4 linked regions of the Rattus norvegicus genome follow. The protein of the gene in region 1 purifies or fractionates together with the protein of each later gene. This does not show direct contact. Links are inferred from orthologs where the notes say so. Each region holds a gene or a part of one and is shown on either strand. Other genes may lie near its edges.

What was found. Proteins that work in one complex are often made in the same cells at the same time.
Region 2: the proteins of Hnrnpc (region 1) and Snw1 purify together in Homo sapiens (affinity purification with mass spectrometry; 3 studies listed by BioGRID and IntAct, with this or other methods). This does not show direct contact. The link is inferred for Rattus norvegicus from reciprocal best matches to the Homo sapiens genes HNRNPC and SNW1.
Region 3: the proteins of Hnrnpc (region 1) and Ncbp1 purify together in Homo sapiens (co-immunoprecipitation; 3 studies listed by BioGRID and IntAct, with this or other methods). This does not show direct contact. The link is inferred for Rattus norvegicus from reciprocal best matches to the Homo sapiens genes HNRNPC and NCBP1.
Region 4: the proteins of Hnrnpc (region 1) and Hnrnpr purify together in Homo sapiens (affinity purification with mass spectrometry; 3 studies listed by BioGRID and IntAct, with this or other methods). This does not show direct contact. The link is inferred for Rattus norvegicus from reciprocal best matches to the Homo sapiens genes HNRNPC and HNRNPR.

What each region holds. Positions count from the first base shown.
Region 1 is NC_086033.1:27,279,020-27,284,743, forward strand, and holds the start of Hnrnpc (heterogeneous nuclear ribonucleoprotein C), read right to left. Parts: upstream 3,697-5,724; 5' UTR 3,543-3,696; intron 2,959-3,542; exon of another isoform or gene 2,922-2,958; intron 504-2,921; exon of another isoform or gene 435-503; intron 1-434. UniProt on the Homo sapiens protein: Binds pre-mRNA and nucleates the assembly of 40S hnRNP particles. Interacts with poly-U tracts in the 3'-UTR or 5'-UTR of mRNA and modulates the stability and the level of translation of bound mRNA molecules. Single HNRNPC tetramers bind 230-240 nucleotides.
Region 2 is NC_086024.1:112,829,960-112,833,459, forward strand, and holds part of Snw1 (SNW domain-containing protein 1), read right to left. Parts: intron 2,468-3,500; coding exon 2,326-2,467; intron 775-2,325; coding exon 678-774; intron 1-677. UniProt on the Homo sapiens protein: Involved in pre-mRNA splicing as component of the spliceosome. As a component of the minor spliceosome, involved in the splicing of U12-type introns in pre-mRNAs.
Region 3 is NC_086023.1:65,232,132-65,235,631, forward strand, and holds part of Ncbp1 (nuclear cap-binding protein subunit 1), read left to right. Parts: exon of another isoform or gene 1-182; coding exon 183-247; exon of another isoform or gene 248-338; coding exon of another isoform or gene 339-355; intron 356-1,225; coding exon 1,226-1,288; intron 1,289-2,109; coding exon 2,110-2,184; intron 2,185-2,983; coding exon 2,984-3,087; intron 3,088-3,500. UniProt on the Homo sapiens protein: Component of the cap-binding complex (CBC), which binds cotranscriptionally to the 5'-cap of pre-mRNAs and is involved in various processes such as pre-mRNA splicing, translation regulation, nonsense-mediated mRNA decay, RNA-mediated gene silencing (RNAi) by microRNAs (miRNAs) and mRNA export.
Region 4 is NC_086023.1:153,847,019-153,850,518, reverse strand, and holds part of Hnrnpr (heterogeneous nuclear ribonucleoprotein R), read right to left. Parts: intron 1,672-3,500; coding exon of another isoform or gene 1,646-1,671; exon of another isoform or gene 1,607-1,645; coding exon of another isoform or gene 1,597-1,606; coding exon 1,391-1,596; intron 1-1,390. UniProt on the Homo sapiens protein: Component of ribonucleosomes, which are complexes of at least 20 other different heterogeneous nuclear ribonucleoproteins (hnRNP). hnRNP play an important role in processing of precursor mRNA in the nucleus.

The DNA of each region.
Region 1 (5,724 bases):
CGCCAGAGCACCAAGCTATATAGAAATCCTGTCTGGAAAAAAGCCAAAAACAAAAAAAAAAAAAAGCTAAATAAAAAGGAAGCATTACACGTTTTATGTCAACAAATTATCTCACCTAAGTTATCGAACTAATGAGCTACTTTTAAAAACAAACTGTCCTTTAATAAAGAGCGTGTATATAGGAGTTGGAAAGATAGTTCAGCCAATGCTCTCACAGGAGCATTTAATTGCAGCACCCACAAGCTAGCTCACAACCTAATTCTTGTTCCAGGGGATCCTATGTTTTCTTTGTGGCTTACATGTCCAGAATACACAGTGTACACATATACATACATGCAAGCAATACACAGAAAAATAAAAATGTAAGTATTTCTAGGCTATACTATCAAAACTCTCATTAAGGTTTGGATGAGCTCTTTTAAAAGGATACTCACAATGAGTCAAGAGAACCACATGACTCAACTGGAAATTGGTAGTCCAGAGCCCAGCGGTCTTCTTTTAAACTAATAACGGGAAACAATACTCAATGTAGCTCTTCAAAAACATTTAACACTGAGGTTTTGCTACCCCTAAGTTATTTTTCACCAGCAGCCAATTCTTCAATCTAGTTCATACAAAACCATAACCCTTCCAATGAAAGTTGAATGTAAGTAAATAATGCTAAATACTAATATACTTGACCGATTTATAGTAATACTCTTGTTAAGGTAGTCAATAGCAAAATAACATTTGTTACTGGCTGCCCTGGAACTAGCTACTTAAGCTAAGCTAGCCTCCAACTCTGCCTGCCCCTGCCTCCCAAGTACTGGGGTGCATACTCCACCAATAAGAGGCAGTAATAATTTAGGAAACAGAGGTGGGGGTGGGGTAGGACAATTTTTTGTGTATTTTGTCAACTACTTTCAGCAATGACTAGGGTTAAATGAGAACTCAAAATTTCCATATAAAGTAGTAGTTTAGCTTGTTTTATATCTCAAAACAAATCCAGAAGTCTAATTTACTGGATACTTACATAGTTTTACACAGCCAAGATTTTTCAATTGTAGTTTCCCTAGTTAGTAACTTCCACTCATCATCTATAAGACTGTAACGAACTATTTAGGAATATATTCCTTACTTGCTTGAACAGCCATGCCCATTTATAACAAGATCACAAGCCAATAAATCTAGAGATCAAATTGCAAACATGTTATAATTACTCTACAGAAAAAATAGTAACCATTACCAACCATTTTGGAAAATGGCTTGACCATGGCAAATGAGAGATCCAAACCTTGCAATTTTAACAGCTTCCTCCCAAGTCAAATCAAAAATGTAATTTGAGTCTGGCCTCAAAACTCCAAGAAATCCACATGTTCTACCAGAACAAGGTGCCTACCAAGCCTGGCCTACATTTATAACACTTAATGGCAAGTATACATCAACTACTACCAGTAACCTTGCATAACTTCTGACATTTATAATACTTTCTCTTACCTAGTTTTCACTGTTCACCAGGCAAAACCCTGTACTCTATCTACTTTTTAAAGGCACATGCCTTTAATCCCATCTCTTACTTAGGCGGAGGCAGGTGGATCAGAGTTCAAGGCCAGCCTAATCAAGACAGTGGGTTCAGAAAAGCCAGGCCTATTGCACAGAGAAACCAAACAAAAAATGTGGGAGGCTGTTTTTTTTTCCTTTGTCTGCATTTGTTCTTCTTTAGACAGTCTTAATACTCCAAGCTGGACCAAGGATGGCCTTGAACTCTTCCTACCTCTATCCCCCAAGTGCTCAAATTACAAGAGTAGGCCATGCACATTCCATGAAGTATGCTTAAGAGTAAAATGTGTGTATAGTTTAAACTAAGATTAGTAGCATATTTTTGTCACTTAATCAAACCCATTGTTTTCTGTATAGCCCTGGCTGTCCTAGAATTACTAGATTTACTCTACATTCAGATCTCCTGCCTTCCTAGTGCTGAGATTAAAAACTGTGCCAGAGTGAAATACCAATTTTATAATAAGTTTATCTAATGAAATAACTCCCAGGTAAGTTAATGTGACACAAAAACCCTTTATTAGTATGGGAGATTGAATCCTGGGCATCTTGAATCCTAAGCACTATCACTAGCTATATTTAAAAGAACTCGGACGGAGGAGATGGCTCAGGGGTTAAGAGCACTGACTGCTCTTCCAGAGGTCCTGAGTTCAATTCCCAGCAACCACATGGTGGCTCACAACCATCAGTAATAAGAGATCTGATGCCCTCTTCTGGTGTGTCTGAAGACAGCAACAGTGTACTTATATAGAATAAATAAATCTAAAAAAAAAAAAAAAAAGAACTCAACACCTACAAGAGAGCAACTACTTTAATTTTTAAACATGTTTTACTATGTAGTCCTGGGCTGCCTTGCAATGGGATCTTGCTCAGGATCTTCCTGTCTCTGAACCTCCAGAATGCAAACATTCCGGGCCTGCACTACCATAACTAGCTGTAAACTGCTTTTTTTCCATTCTAGATGGGTAGGATTAATACTGGAGTATCTGTAAACTATTTCTGTGCCTTTTAATTATTGTTCCCAAGTCCAGATTGAAAATGTCCTGTAAATTTCGGTATCAGGTTCCTCTAAAAAGAAAAACTCATTCCCACCCCACCCCCCTTTTTGAGACAGGGCTTCTCTGTGTAGCCCGAGCTGTCCTGGAACTCTCTCTCTGTGACCAGGCTGGCCCACAACTCAGAGAGATCTGCCTGTCTCTGCCTCCCAAGTGGTGGGAGGCATTTGGCGTGCACTGTCACCACCTACCGGCTAAGTCTCTTCTTGTGTATAGTCTATTCTAGTAACTTGACCTGCCTAGAAATATCTTAGTTTCTCTACTACTGATTTAGTCCGGTCCTGTCAACCACTTTTAAGTCTCACTTCTCTCTAGGACAGCAGTACCTACCTCAAGCAAAGTTCCACTAACTTATGTGATTTGTAACCTGCAGATAAAAAGCTGTAATTATTCCAATTACAATTTACCTTGGGCACTTCCCTTTACAAACCAAAAGCACTCCCGACTTTTACCCATCTATCCCTTGAAGAAAAAAGTAATCACTACTTAATCTATTGTTAAAACGCCGTTCAGATGCCATGTGGCCGGCCTGGAATTTAGAAGCTTCCAGTACTACACCACCATGTTATCGCTCCCCCACCCACGCCCGACATTTAGCTTAGAAGACAATAACGGAGTAAGAGATTCACTACAATTACATTAACAAGCATTTCGTTCTTCGCTTTCTTGCTCCCCTGCTCCCCCTTGGAATCCTAATGGGGGAAGGAAATGAAAGTAGCCGTTAAACACCAGCGCGCAAAGAGGGTATTTTCGTACGCACCGTGGCCTAGAGGTCACTAGGTTGAACCTGCGCCAAGGCCGAGGCCTGTTGCCTCCCGCCTTAGACCCAATCCCCAACGCACAGGAACAAACGCGGCCTCGGTTTCTGCCGCGAGGCCGTTTTCTCGCCTACAACCCCCTCGCGGGGCCCAGCAACCCAGGGCCTCCCCTGCCCTCGCCCTCTCCGCTTACCAAGAGGAAGGAGAGAGAGAGAAGAGCCTGCCTCTCCTACTGCGGGTCTACGCCGAGAAGCCGGAGCTACAACAGCAAGGAACCACACGACCGTTCGCTCTCCGTCTCTTCACAAAATGGCCCCCGAGCTCCTCTGCCGCCGAGGCAAAAGTCCAGCCCCCGCCCCGCTCCCGGAGGCGTTTCTATTGGCTGTGACTTTTCTCGCTCCCGCTCCTAATTAGATAGCGTTACCGCTCCTCACAATTCCGTCCAATCATCACACGAGGTGGGTTGGGCTAATTGGGAGAATTTCCACATGCGTAACAAAAGCTACTTAGTAATTGGTTAAGCTTTCTATCACTTAGTGTCTGACGGATGGTTATTGGTCACTGTACCAGACGGAAAGCTGGGTGGAATTTTCGCCTTTGTATCGCGCACAGCTTCTCATCCGGGTATCCGGCGGACCTGACTGACGGCCGTGTCGTCCTATCAGTGCTTCCTAGAGATCCTAGGTCCGGCCAGATCACCGCATTTCCGCGGCACGGAGGTGGGAAAGCCTGGGTGGAGTCTGGTAGCGGGTGCAAAGGGCCTGCCCTAGCCTCAGGCCTTGGAAAAAAAGGGAAGTGCAAACAAGCTTTAGAGAAGGGAGGATCGTAATCCCTAGGCCGCCTGAAGTGTTAAAAACTAAACAGGTCTGCAGTTATTTTCAAATTCAGATCCCCTCTCATTGCCAGATTCTATAAGCTATTGGAAGGACGTGGCCTTGTCAGTGAACAGCTCCCTCCAAACCAACTGGTTTCCATAGTTCTCTCCTATAAGAGCAATTGCCTAGACCCCTATAAACCCGTTTCCTGGGCCCAAGTCGTCACACAATCTGCAAAACCAATGGCCAGCCGCCTCAGTTTCCCACTTCCTGCAATAGCTTGATACTACTTAACCCCCTCAGCTCGGCCAGTAAAGCTCTGGTTACACTGTAGAAACATTAAACAGGCCAAAAATGTATATAGCCTACTGAGAAAGGGAAAGAGTACCCCAGGAAATTTCCTGATTTAAAAATAAAAAATAATCTTTTAGGTCTTCTTTAGACCTTTAAACCTTTGACATTTTCAAAGGATTTATTTTAAATGTTCCAGTCCAGCGAGTTTATGTGTTCCCAATTTTATTTTATTTTTTTTTTCTTTAAAGAAAGGTTTGGGCTAGGCGGTATTTCTAGTGCAAGGCCAGTCTACTCAAGTTTCAGGACAGCTAGGGCTGTATAGTGAAACTCTCTGTCGAAAAAACAATAAATATAAGTACCTAGGTAGAGGTAGGTAGGTAGACAGACAAATGGGAAGCCCTTCATGGCTAGGCTTGCGGGCCATTGAACCCCAGGTTCCTTCTGTTTTCACTTCCCTGGTGTTAGGAACAAACACGCAATGATCTCCTCTGACAGAGCTCCTAAGCACAGGCAAAGCAGTTCTGTAAAGAAGTTGGCTTTGGTGAGGGAGGTGCACCTGAATCCAAACCAGAGTAGCAAGCAGGAAGTTCGCTTTGGTTTTTTTGCTACTTATTTAGTCAGGGTCAGACTATGCAGCCTGTATGTAGACCAGGCTGGCATCCATCCCACAGTGATCCTCCTACCTCTGCCCTCAGCATGCTGAGATCCGATGATAGTGTAACCACTTCTGGTCTTGACTTTTATTCTGACACAGGTGGTGACTGTGTCTTTCCCGTGGGCAGTGTTTTGACCTTTCAAGACTATGCAGGTTCTAAAAGACTTGGAGAAAATGACATGAAGAAAAAAGAAGAACAGGATGGCTTCGGGCCATCAGTCTCCAGAAATACAAAAAAGGGAACATATGTGTAAATAAATGATTTACCAGGTGAAAGAAATTGAAAGGTTTGCCCAAAAATTTTACAAAGTGAGGGAGATCTATGGAATTTTTGGCTTTTCCAAATGAAAGGTTAACTCCATTCATTCATTCATTCATTCATTCATTTTTGTTTTTGCGAGACAGGGTTTCCTGGAACTCTGTAGACCAGGTTACCCTCTAACTCAGAGATTCTCTTGTTCTTCTTCCAAGCCTGGGATTAGAGCAGTGGGCCACATCACCGTCTAAAGATGGCTATTTTTAATTTAAATATTTTTAAACTTTTTAGGGTTGGAGGTACTTATATAATAAGTAAATAAATCTTTTTAATAAAATAAAAACCTTTCTCAGGG
Region 2 (3,500 bases), on another chromosome or scaffold:
GAAGCTGGGTTGGACCAGCTTCTAGCATCATCAGAGCGTGGACAATTACTCATACGGGAAGAAAGTGTTTCTTATTTGCATCTAGCTCAAACCCTGAATTCCACCTTTGCAGCACAGCATTTTCTGGACTTTGAGGCAACCTCAGTCCTCAGGCCCTTGTGAATGACAAACTTCATTCACAAACTTGCCTACTTTATGTTCCTATGAACGTACCGGGCTTGTTTGCACCACTTCATTTTCCCATCTACGAAGCTCCGATCTGAATGTTAAACTGAATGTTCACAGGAGTCCAGACTCTTCCTTCAACACTGACCCTCCTCCCTGCAGCAGGCACAGTACATGATCTAGAAAGGAGGTCGCTAAGGCTATGGTGCCTGGCTTCCCATCTACACACACGCATGCAAGCCACTTATTCCACCACTTGGGAGTCAAAAAGCCCACAGAACAACTGATCCTTCCCTTCTGCACTGACATGATCTGGAGTCCCTTTCCTATGACAGACTTTCTCAAAACTAATACTAGTTCAATGAGGTGAAGGACAAAACAGGGAACCTTCTAGGGAGCTTCAATTCTGTTAAAACAAACAGCTCGAGTGTGGCAAAGTTAGTTCTTAATTTATTACCAAGCTAAAGAAATGCCCTTCTTCCTGACTCACACTCTTGTAGGTAGCAACCCACCTCTTATCAGGAGCTGCTCTGGAAAGGTTCCGGTCATGCTGCCTCTCTTTTCGCCTGTCATGACGGATTTCATCTCTTTCTCGGGCCTCTCCATCCTCTGTGGACACAGTTGAAAATTAGCTTGTCACTATATTAACTACTCATAGTTTGCACAAGGGGCTGGATCTTCAACCTTAGAAAATGCTGTATTTTTCTATTTTCTTGAGACATGGCCTAGGCTAGCCTCAAACTGGCTCTCCTTGCTGCTGGGATTATAAGTGTGCACCATCTGTTCTTTGTGGTCACATTCAGCCCTCCAACATTCCTTGCAGTCAATTTAAATCCAAGTTTGTGGGCTGTAGACTCCTATATCAAAGTTACTGAAATGCACAGAAGTAAAATCCAGTCACACTAGTTGTCTTTAAAAATTAACCAGAGTCTAGGTGAAGAGAGGTTGTTCTTTTCATCAAGCATTCCTTTCAGCTCTTCCTCCTTATCTTTGAAAATTGTCCGGATAAAATGCAAAGAAAGGGCTGGGGAAATGGCTTAGCTGGTAAAATGTCTGCTGTTCAAGCATGAGGACCTGAGTGTGGACCTCTAGCAGCCCGGTAGACGGCTAGACATTGTAGTGAGTGTGGTGAGCTTCCGACTCTCTGACATCCTTTCTTCAAACTACAAAGAGTGATTGAGCACGGACACTCAGTGTGTCTACAGGAGGCACACACACATCCACATCAGCACCTCCCCCCCCCCCCCCCCCACACACACAGCACATAGAACTTTTAACAAATGGAAAGAAAACAGAACCATGTACAGGCTTTAGTTGGAGCTTGCTGAACAGCCAGCCTAGCTAAATTCGTGAGCTCCAAGCAGAGGCTGTGTTTCAAAAACTAAGGTGACTGCTGGCCAGCTTTAATAGTGCCACAAAACCCACTGGTGTGGAATGTGGGAATTAGCGGTGTTATACACTGCTGGACCCTGCCCAGCACAATCCTGTCTGGCAGGGTGAGCTCACTGGTGCAGCCCGGGCAGTGCTGTCACGGGGCTGACCTGATGCTTTGGGTCAGATCCCTAACTACTCTGACACATCTCCTATGGACTCAGCTATACTGGGGTAAGCACAAGGGCTCTTGTAGTCACCTATCATTCATTCCATCCAGAATGTTCTCCCAGATAGCCACATGGTTTACTTACAAGTTTTTGTACTAATATTAGCATTAACAAGTAAGGCCTCTTCTGACAAGCCTTTCCTTCTGGCAGTTTATATCCCGTGTTTTATTTTTCTTTATCCACTGTATTATATTCTATACAATTGACTTCATTTGCTTATGTTGTTTTAGAGACAGGATCTTACTATGTAGCCCTGGCTGTCCTCAAACTTTTCATTCTCCTGCCTCAGCCTCCTCAGTGCTGGGAACAGAAGTATACTGCCAAGTGACTTTCTCCCATATTAAAGGCTTTTTTTTTTTTTTTTTTTAAAAGATATGTACTTCTTTGCTTTTTGGTAGCTTACTTCTACATTATTTCTGAAATAACTCAATTTTTCTTGTACATATAAACTACTTTTGTATGCTGTAAAATACCCTCCCTCATACATGCTCAGTGCATGGAGACTTTCTAAAATGAGATATACATTGTCAGTAAGTAAATTCCAATGAGAATGTCATACCTTTTTCCACATGGGTTTTGATCCCAGCTCTCCTTTCTCTGGCTTTCTGGGCCATTTCTCTGAGTTTCTCCTCATGCTTCTCCTTTTCTTTCTGAGCCATCTTTCTCTCCACTTGGGCTCGCATTTCCACCGCTTCTCGAGCCTGTTTAGTAAAGTGAGATGTTAAGTGGAACTCACAGTGGGACACACATTTACAGCTCTCTCCAACTCCTTACTGCAGCCTGCCTGGAAAAGCAACTGCACAGACTTCAAGGTCTAACAAGAGTATATGACTTTGGAAGTCTGGGCTTGTCTCTTGGGAATGTTTAGATGGTGCAAACACAGGGAACCTGGTTGACTTTTATAAGTCAAGTACATCATTAATGCTTTTTAGCGAACAATCCAAAAATGAAGTATTGGTTGAGCACTAAGGTGAGCACCTAGCACAAAGAAGATCATCGGAGTCCACCAGTTCAGAACCAGACTGGGATGCACTGGGCATGGTGGGGCACGACATTAATGCCCGCATTTGGAAGGCAGAGGCAGCTGAGTCTTCGTGTTTGTTCCCAGACAGCCAGTGGATCCTGTCTCAAAACTAAAGAAAGGAAGCCGGACTGAACCATAGTGAGATCCACCCTCAAATGTAAGTAAATAGGTAAATAAATGTAGCTGAACATGGTAGTGCATACGTGCAATCTAGAAATCAGGAGGCTGAGGCAGAAGGATTGCTTGCAGTGAGTTCCAGCATAGCCTGAGCTTGAAACTCAGATCCTATCTCAAAAACCAAATCCACCAAGATTTACGTATAACTCTCCCTTGAGACAAAAATCTTTGCCTACATCTGAAGACTTAAAAACAAACAAAACATATCCAAAACCTCCACTTATTTATTTGTATGTGTGTGTGCATGCCATAGCAGCACTCTATCTGTAAGGTCAACAGCCCATACCATCAATGCCATTATGTGAGTAACCTAAATCAAAATGTTTACCTACCCTTCTCTACAACTGTCCTTCAGGGAACATCTACATCTAAAATATAAGAAATCTGTACAACACACAATAGTACCTAGCAATCCTCAAAGAATTAGGTTAGCCTAGGGAAACAATACTCTGGCACAGGAGGACCAATGCTGCTAGAGGTCTCCGGACAGAGCTGTACCTAGCCCCTGCTGCCATTGGTGTACACACTTGCCA
Region 3 (3,500 bases), on another chromosome or scaffold:
GGGTGGATGCAGTGAGAGGTCTCAAATGACTGAGGGGGAGTGGATACAAAGGAGCAGTCAGGGTTACTGTCCAGCGTCGACAGTGTAACTTGAAAAACAAGATTAGCTATGTGAAAAGGAAAGAAACATACCGTCCTTAGGCAGGAGAGTAGGAAGTAGTTCTCCTTACCTTCCGGTCACAGCTTGCACAGGCCACTGAGATGCTGTACATGCGTCTGGACACCATGAGTACCACGTGTGTTGACAGGTACGGCCATTGGTGACATCGTCGCAACTAAGGGCTATGTTAGCGCCTCAGGAATCTTCAGAATCTCATATTCAAAAATTATCAGTGAGAACTACCCCCGTCCATGACCTTGAAACATTTCAAATGATTGAAATCAGTTTGGAGAGAAGTGCTTTAAGAAAGTGTTTTCCAGTGTCTCTAATAGAGTACCAGTTCTGTAAACATTTGAGTACTCCAATGGTCTTCAGGGCATCATTTAACACACTAAGATGTTTCCTGTCCCGAGAGCTACGTGTGTTTAAGTGGGTATATAGGCTGTCCTGAAAAGGTCGTAGTGGGCTTGGAGAGCTCAGCAATTCAGGTTCTGCTCTTCAGAGGACCTGAGTTTGGTTCTCAGCAAGCACATCCTGAAGCTTTGCTCCAGTTCCAGAAGATTCAATACCCGTCTGACCTCTGGCACTGCTGGCACTGTGTACACAGATATGCAGTGTAAACACATAAATGAAGAAGTAGTTACACTCTTAAAAGGTCTTTGAGAGTCTAAGAGCTGGTGAAAAGGCTCAGTGGTTACAGCACTAGCTGCTCTCCCAGGAACCCATGCTTGATTCCCAGCAAAACACGAGAAGCTTACTCTGATTCTGCCATTTGTAAATTATTTGTAAACATTAACTACAATTTATTTTTTTAGCTATTTCCATGTCATAAACAGTTACATGAAAAACTAATATCCTCCTTCATAGCTGTGAGAATTACATAAATATTTTGCACAAAACATGCTTTACTCATGGCTGTTCACTAACAAGAATAAAAGGGAGCCCCATTGTGAGAGCTGAGGAATCTGGGGACATAGGACAGGGAGTCAGACTTTGTTGAGAAAACAAAAGACTACAGGTGGGGTGGGGTTCCCCGAGACAGTTGAGCTGTATTAAGATTTTATAAACTGCTGGTCTAAATTGCACTCTTTGTTTTCTCTTCTCCCTGCTCCACTCCCCAATGTAGGTTTATTAATTGGTTTTCTCATCATCTAAGTAATTTTCAATTCCGCTGGAGCTGGGAAGATTGGTAAGTGTAAGGTTTATCCTTCCTTATTGAAAACAGTTACTATTGGAGATTGCTCAGTCAGTAAAGTGCTTGTTACTCGAACATAAAGACCCAATTGAGCTCCAGAGCCCATGTTAAAAAAAACCCATGTTGAGCCCTTCTTGGTTGCACACACCTTTAATTACAGCACCCAGGAGACAGAGGCACACCCATCTCTAAGAGTTAGGAGCCAGCTACATAACAAGTTCCAGACCAGCTAGCACTGCTCAGTCAGACCCTGGGTTTAAAAAAAGCCAGCTGTGGAGATGTGGGCTTCTAATCCCAGCACCAGGGACATAGAGATTGACAGATCCCTGAAGCTCACTGGCCAGTCACCCTAACCTAATGGGTAAGTTCTGGGCCTAGCGAGAAACACTATCTCAAGTCAAAGTGGGTGCACTGGGGGAACAACGCCCAAGGTTATCCTCTGATCTCCCTGTACAGGTCACACTCATGTATGCAGCACATGAATACATACATACACAGGAAAACCTTAATATTTAAAACTAAAAAAAAAAATATATATATATATGAGTGCTCTGTCTGTTTGCCAGGAGAGAGCATCAGATCCCTTTATAAATGGTCATGAGCTACCATGTGGGTTCTGGGAATTGAACTCAGGACCTCTGGAAGTCAGCCAGTGCTCTTAACCACCAGCCTCTAAAACTCACTTTAAAACAGTTTGTTGTCTCAAGTATTTCTTGATATTTAGTTACTCTATGTGGATGAGGTAAAAGGTAGAGAAACCTCTAACCAGGAACTGAAGGTTATGCATGTTAACGTAATCCAGATTTCCTCCCTAGGTCAGATTGTCTTACTCAGGATCTTGAAAGTCCCAAACCAAAGTTTGTAAGAGAAGTTCTAGAGAAATGTATGAGGTAAGCTCTTTGCATTTTGTTCTCTTAGCTCTCTTAGCTTCTCATGAAGGAAACTGCTGGAACTGGTTATTATCTGACAGGATTTCTCTCTCCTTTGTTTTGTACTTACAATGTTTGTCCATCTTCCAACTCACTTTTAAATGAAGATTTAGGCTACAGTTAGTCTGCTGTACTATTTGGATTTTATGTTAATTAAGCCAATAAGATTCTTTTCAATGTCTCCCAACATTGATGAGCATTTTCTTATTTTCTAAACTTGGGTTTTTATCTAATCTGTGTTTTCTTAGCCCTCTCCGAGAGCCATCTATTTAAAGAGCCTTTAGTTTCTAGTTGATAGAGTATGTTTTGGGGAACTGTGATTTAAGCTCTTAATGTGTATTTTTTAGGGGTAGTTGAGGCCTTTGGGAAGATACCGTGTGCATGCTTGCACGGTATATCCCTCTTTTCACACCCAACATTGTAAATACTATGTAAATGCTCTGTTGGACAGGACAAAGCGTGCCTCTTTCTAGCTCCCACTTATTTCTTTGCCGTGTCACGACCAGCCTCCCAGCCGTGCCATCTGACCTCCACCCGACCCATTCTCACTTGCAGTCTTCCCTGAACGCACGCTGCAGAGTCAGTGTCTGAGCGGCCTGAGCTCACTCACCTATGCTAACTTTCTCAATGGTTGGAAGGACTTGGTCCCCATTTGCGTCTTGGTTGTTCTCTGTGGGATCTTAGATCTGGCTTCTGGGCAGGTTGAGTATTAGCAAAGCCTGAAACATGAGACTTTCTGAGACTCTTGTTTATGTTGTAGGTTGTCTTACCATCAGCATATATTAGATATCGTTCCTCCCACCTTCTCAGCTCTGTGTCCTGCAAACCCAACCTGCATTTACAAGTATGGAGACGAAAGTAGCAGTAAGTAACACTCTCTCCTTAGGAAGTACCGATGGACGCATTCGGGGAAGCTGGTTACCCATAGGAGGGAAGGTTGACGTTCTCAGAATCGTGTTTCTATATTTGAAAAACGACTCACATTAACCACTAGATTAAGGATTTTGTTGTTGTTGTTGTTAGCTTTAGGTTCCTTCTGTTTTATTCTGTTCACAGTGTTTTTCACATGACCTTTTTAATCCAGTACAAAGAGTAGTACTGTACAGAGGGGAATTCTTCCTGGAGTGTACTAAGACTGAAAGTGCGTTTGTTAAGATGGAGACTTGTTGAATTGGTTACCATCTTGTCCTAGTTAGCGTTGCCGTTGCTGTGATGGAGCGCCATGAACACAAGCTGAGGGAACTGTTTGATTGGTTTATACTTCATGTGTCCATTGA
Region 4 (3,500 bases), on another chromosome or scaffold:
GTGATGTAGGCCCAGCACTCAGGAGGCAGAGGCAGGCAGATCTTTTGTGAGTTTGAGGCCAGTGTGGTCTACAAAGCAAGTTCCAGGACAGTCAGGAATATTATACAGGGATGTTACTAGGTGGTGGTAGTTGGGTTTATTTTGAACTCCCACCTGAATAGTTATCAGCGATGAATAAAAAAAGCAAAATTACTAATTCTACCTTGAGACTTCTGGGGAATTTTACTGTTCCCAATATATAATACATCCTTTAACTTTTAGACATTTTACTTTTATTTTTAAAAAGCAGCAGAGGCTATGTTTTGTCTTATGGAAGTCAAAGCTGTGGTGAACTTAAGAGACTTATTCAGCCCAAATAAAACACATGGCATCCAAGGTCCAATAGATAGCACAAAGCCACAATGTACTTCAACAAACAATGGAGACCGAAATCAAACAATTAAAAAAGAAAAAAGGAAAGAAAGAACTAAGACTACTTAGATTCCTAGTCCCCTCCCTGGACACTGATCTACTACTCAAGGAAGGTGAGACAGAAAAACAGAAAGCACAACTCTTGAGAGCCTCTCAGATTCTTCTCAATGAATCATCTCCGTTTAACCCAAAAATGTGTGCACATACAAAGAGACCACACCACACTAATATAAACCAGAACCCTCCGAACTGGTCAAGGTGAGCGTTTTGCATCTTTCAGTCTTGAAGGCCCACACACTAGTTTATTGGTCAAGTTGCCTCCCTGCGGAAAGAACCATCAGTGAACTACACAAACTTGCTACAAGTAGAGGAATCTCTTCAGTTCCAGGAACCATCCAAAGAAAAGCCCCAAAAACCCGACAATGAAGAAACCGAGGACCTGCTCTTTGGAGGATGTAGTCTAGTTGCCACTGACAACAAGTGTGGCAAGCTTTTGTCTTTTTCATTGGGACAATACTCTAAAAGAAACTACAGACACGTTACAATAAATTAGCTATAAATCTAACTAAAATGTAATTCAAAGCCATATCATCAAAGTCATAGCATGAGCCAGTTCATGTCTGTAGCAAGAGTCTAGAGCAAGAGAATTGATTAAAAGAAGCCAACCTGGGCTCCACAGTAAGTTCCCAGTGAGTCTGAGCTATATAGACTACCCCTCCCCCACCACAAAATAATAATTTATCAACCACATTTATTATTATAGTATTATTTTTGACTAATGTTTTGTATGTTTTGTGGTGCTAACATTAAATAAATGCCCAGTGTGTATGGAACACTTACTAGCTTTCATTTCAGATCTTTGACACCTCTGATCTGGAGGAACTGAGCAGACACGAAGACAGGATTCTATGCTGGTGTTGCATCAGCTACTCTTTGTTTTTCTAAGCAGTTACAGTGAACAGCTATAATGTGTATTTACCTTTGCCATGACTTCCGGATCCGGTTCTTCCACGGGGTCAGCCCACTCAACTGTAACTACATTTCCCCACACTTTGACTTTTCCACTCATCAGCCGGCGTCTGGCTTGTGCTGCTGACTTGTGATCCTCATATTCAAGGAAGCAGAACCCCCGATTCTTCTTTTTGTCATCGGGTTGATGATAGAGAATAACGTCCACCAAACCCTCTGTTAAACCAACAGCCAGATATATAAGCCAAAAGCATCCACCACACGTCTAGTGATTAGGCAGACCTAAATCCACTTGCCAATGAGCAAAAAAAAAAAAAATTATTGAAGAGGCCTCACAGTAGCAAACATCAGAGCAGCATTATTCGATGCAGAGTTTGGGACAGTAGTATGAGTTCTGTTAAAGAGTTCTTAAAGTAGGTCCAACTACTATGAAATCTTGTAATTAATGATAAAACACGACCTCATAATCTATAAAGCCATTATCAGGACCTCAAGATTCAAATTATTTACCCAAATGCGAGAGAACTAACTCTCAACTACTAGTCACAGACCAAAAACCAAATCTAAATGAAATAAAACCCACCTTTCTGACATCCAGCATAACAGCTCTCTTTACTATGAACAAGGACCATCAGTAACCATTCGCGTCGAGTCCCTCTGACCTTATGTCCTTCCTCCCTCCACGTATGTCATGTGAGCTAACCGTAGTACTTTCTGTACCCTTATAAACAAAACTTTTTCTAGCCTAGATTTCTCAGAGACCCAGATGTATAAGCTACTTAAAATGCCTCGGACAAATTTCACATGTGCAAAACAGCACTACTATACATACCCAAAGTATACTTTCCCTAGGCTTCCCTACCTAATAAACAGGTCATCTTTCAGCTAAATCCTCGTGCCAGAAAATAGTAATTCTTTTCATCATCTCTACTGTCCAAATCTAACACATTTACTTTTTACCACCTCACTATTGCCATGGTTAGTACTACTAATCCTGATGACAGCTCTAAGCCTTCGTCTGCATAGAATAGAAAAGCACTCGGCATGCGGAGAAAAAAGACCTTCACACAGGGTTAGTTTTGGGGTTGGGGATTTAGCTCAGTGGTAGAGCGCTTGCCTAGGAAGCGCAAGGCCCTGGGTTCGGTCCCCAGCTCCGAAAAAAAAAAGAACCAAAAAAAAAAAAAAAAAAAAAAAAAAGACCTTCACACATCTTCTAATTCTATATGCAATACAATGCAAACTTCCTATATGGTCTAAGAGCCTTGACTGCTTCATCTCATATAATTCTACTTTTAATTTGTTTTTAGCAAATATTGGCTTTCTATCAGTTACTTTACTATAAGTTATTCTTGACTGGGACACGGTATATGTTAATCTTTTGGAAAGTTCTCTTCTTTTTTTGAATATATTTTTTAATTTATTCTTTTATGTATGTGAGTATACTATCTTCAGACACACCAGAAGAGGGCATCAGATCCCATTACAGATGGTTGTGAGCCACTATGTGGTTGCTGGGATTTGAACTCTGAACTCAGGACTTCTGGAAGAGCAGTCAGTGCTCTTAACCACTGAGCCGTCTCTCCATTCCCCAACTCTGTTCTTTGTATGCTATATACTCTTGAGTTTTTAAGGTCGTGCCCGAAATAAAACCTTATAAAAGCTAACCACAGAAACATTCTGTAATTCTACAACATAGAATTATTTCTTTAATTTTCTGATCTTAACTCTTCTCTGAGATGTAGGCCTTCTAAAGGTAGAAAACAGCAAAGACCAGGTCTCTTATCCACCACTGTATCTCACTGTGTAGCAGGTACTTTAATAAGCACATACTGGAGGGGAGAATGAATAGAAGAACACAAACAGAAAGCAATTACTATACAGTCAGTCAGTATACTATTACTATACTATACTATACTATACTATACTATACTATACTATACTATACTATAGTAATTATCACTATAATTATTATACTAGTCAGTAGGGCTAGAGGGATGGCTCCTGAGTTCAGTCCCCAGCAACCACATGGTGGCTCACAACCATCTGAAATGGGATTTGATGCCCTCTTCTGGTGTGTCTGAGGACAGTGACAGTGTACACACAGACACAGACACAGACAC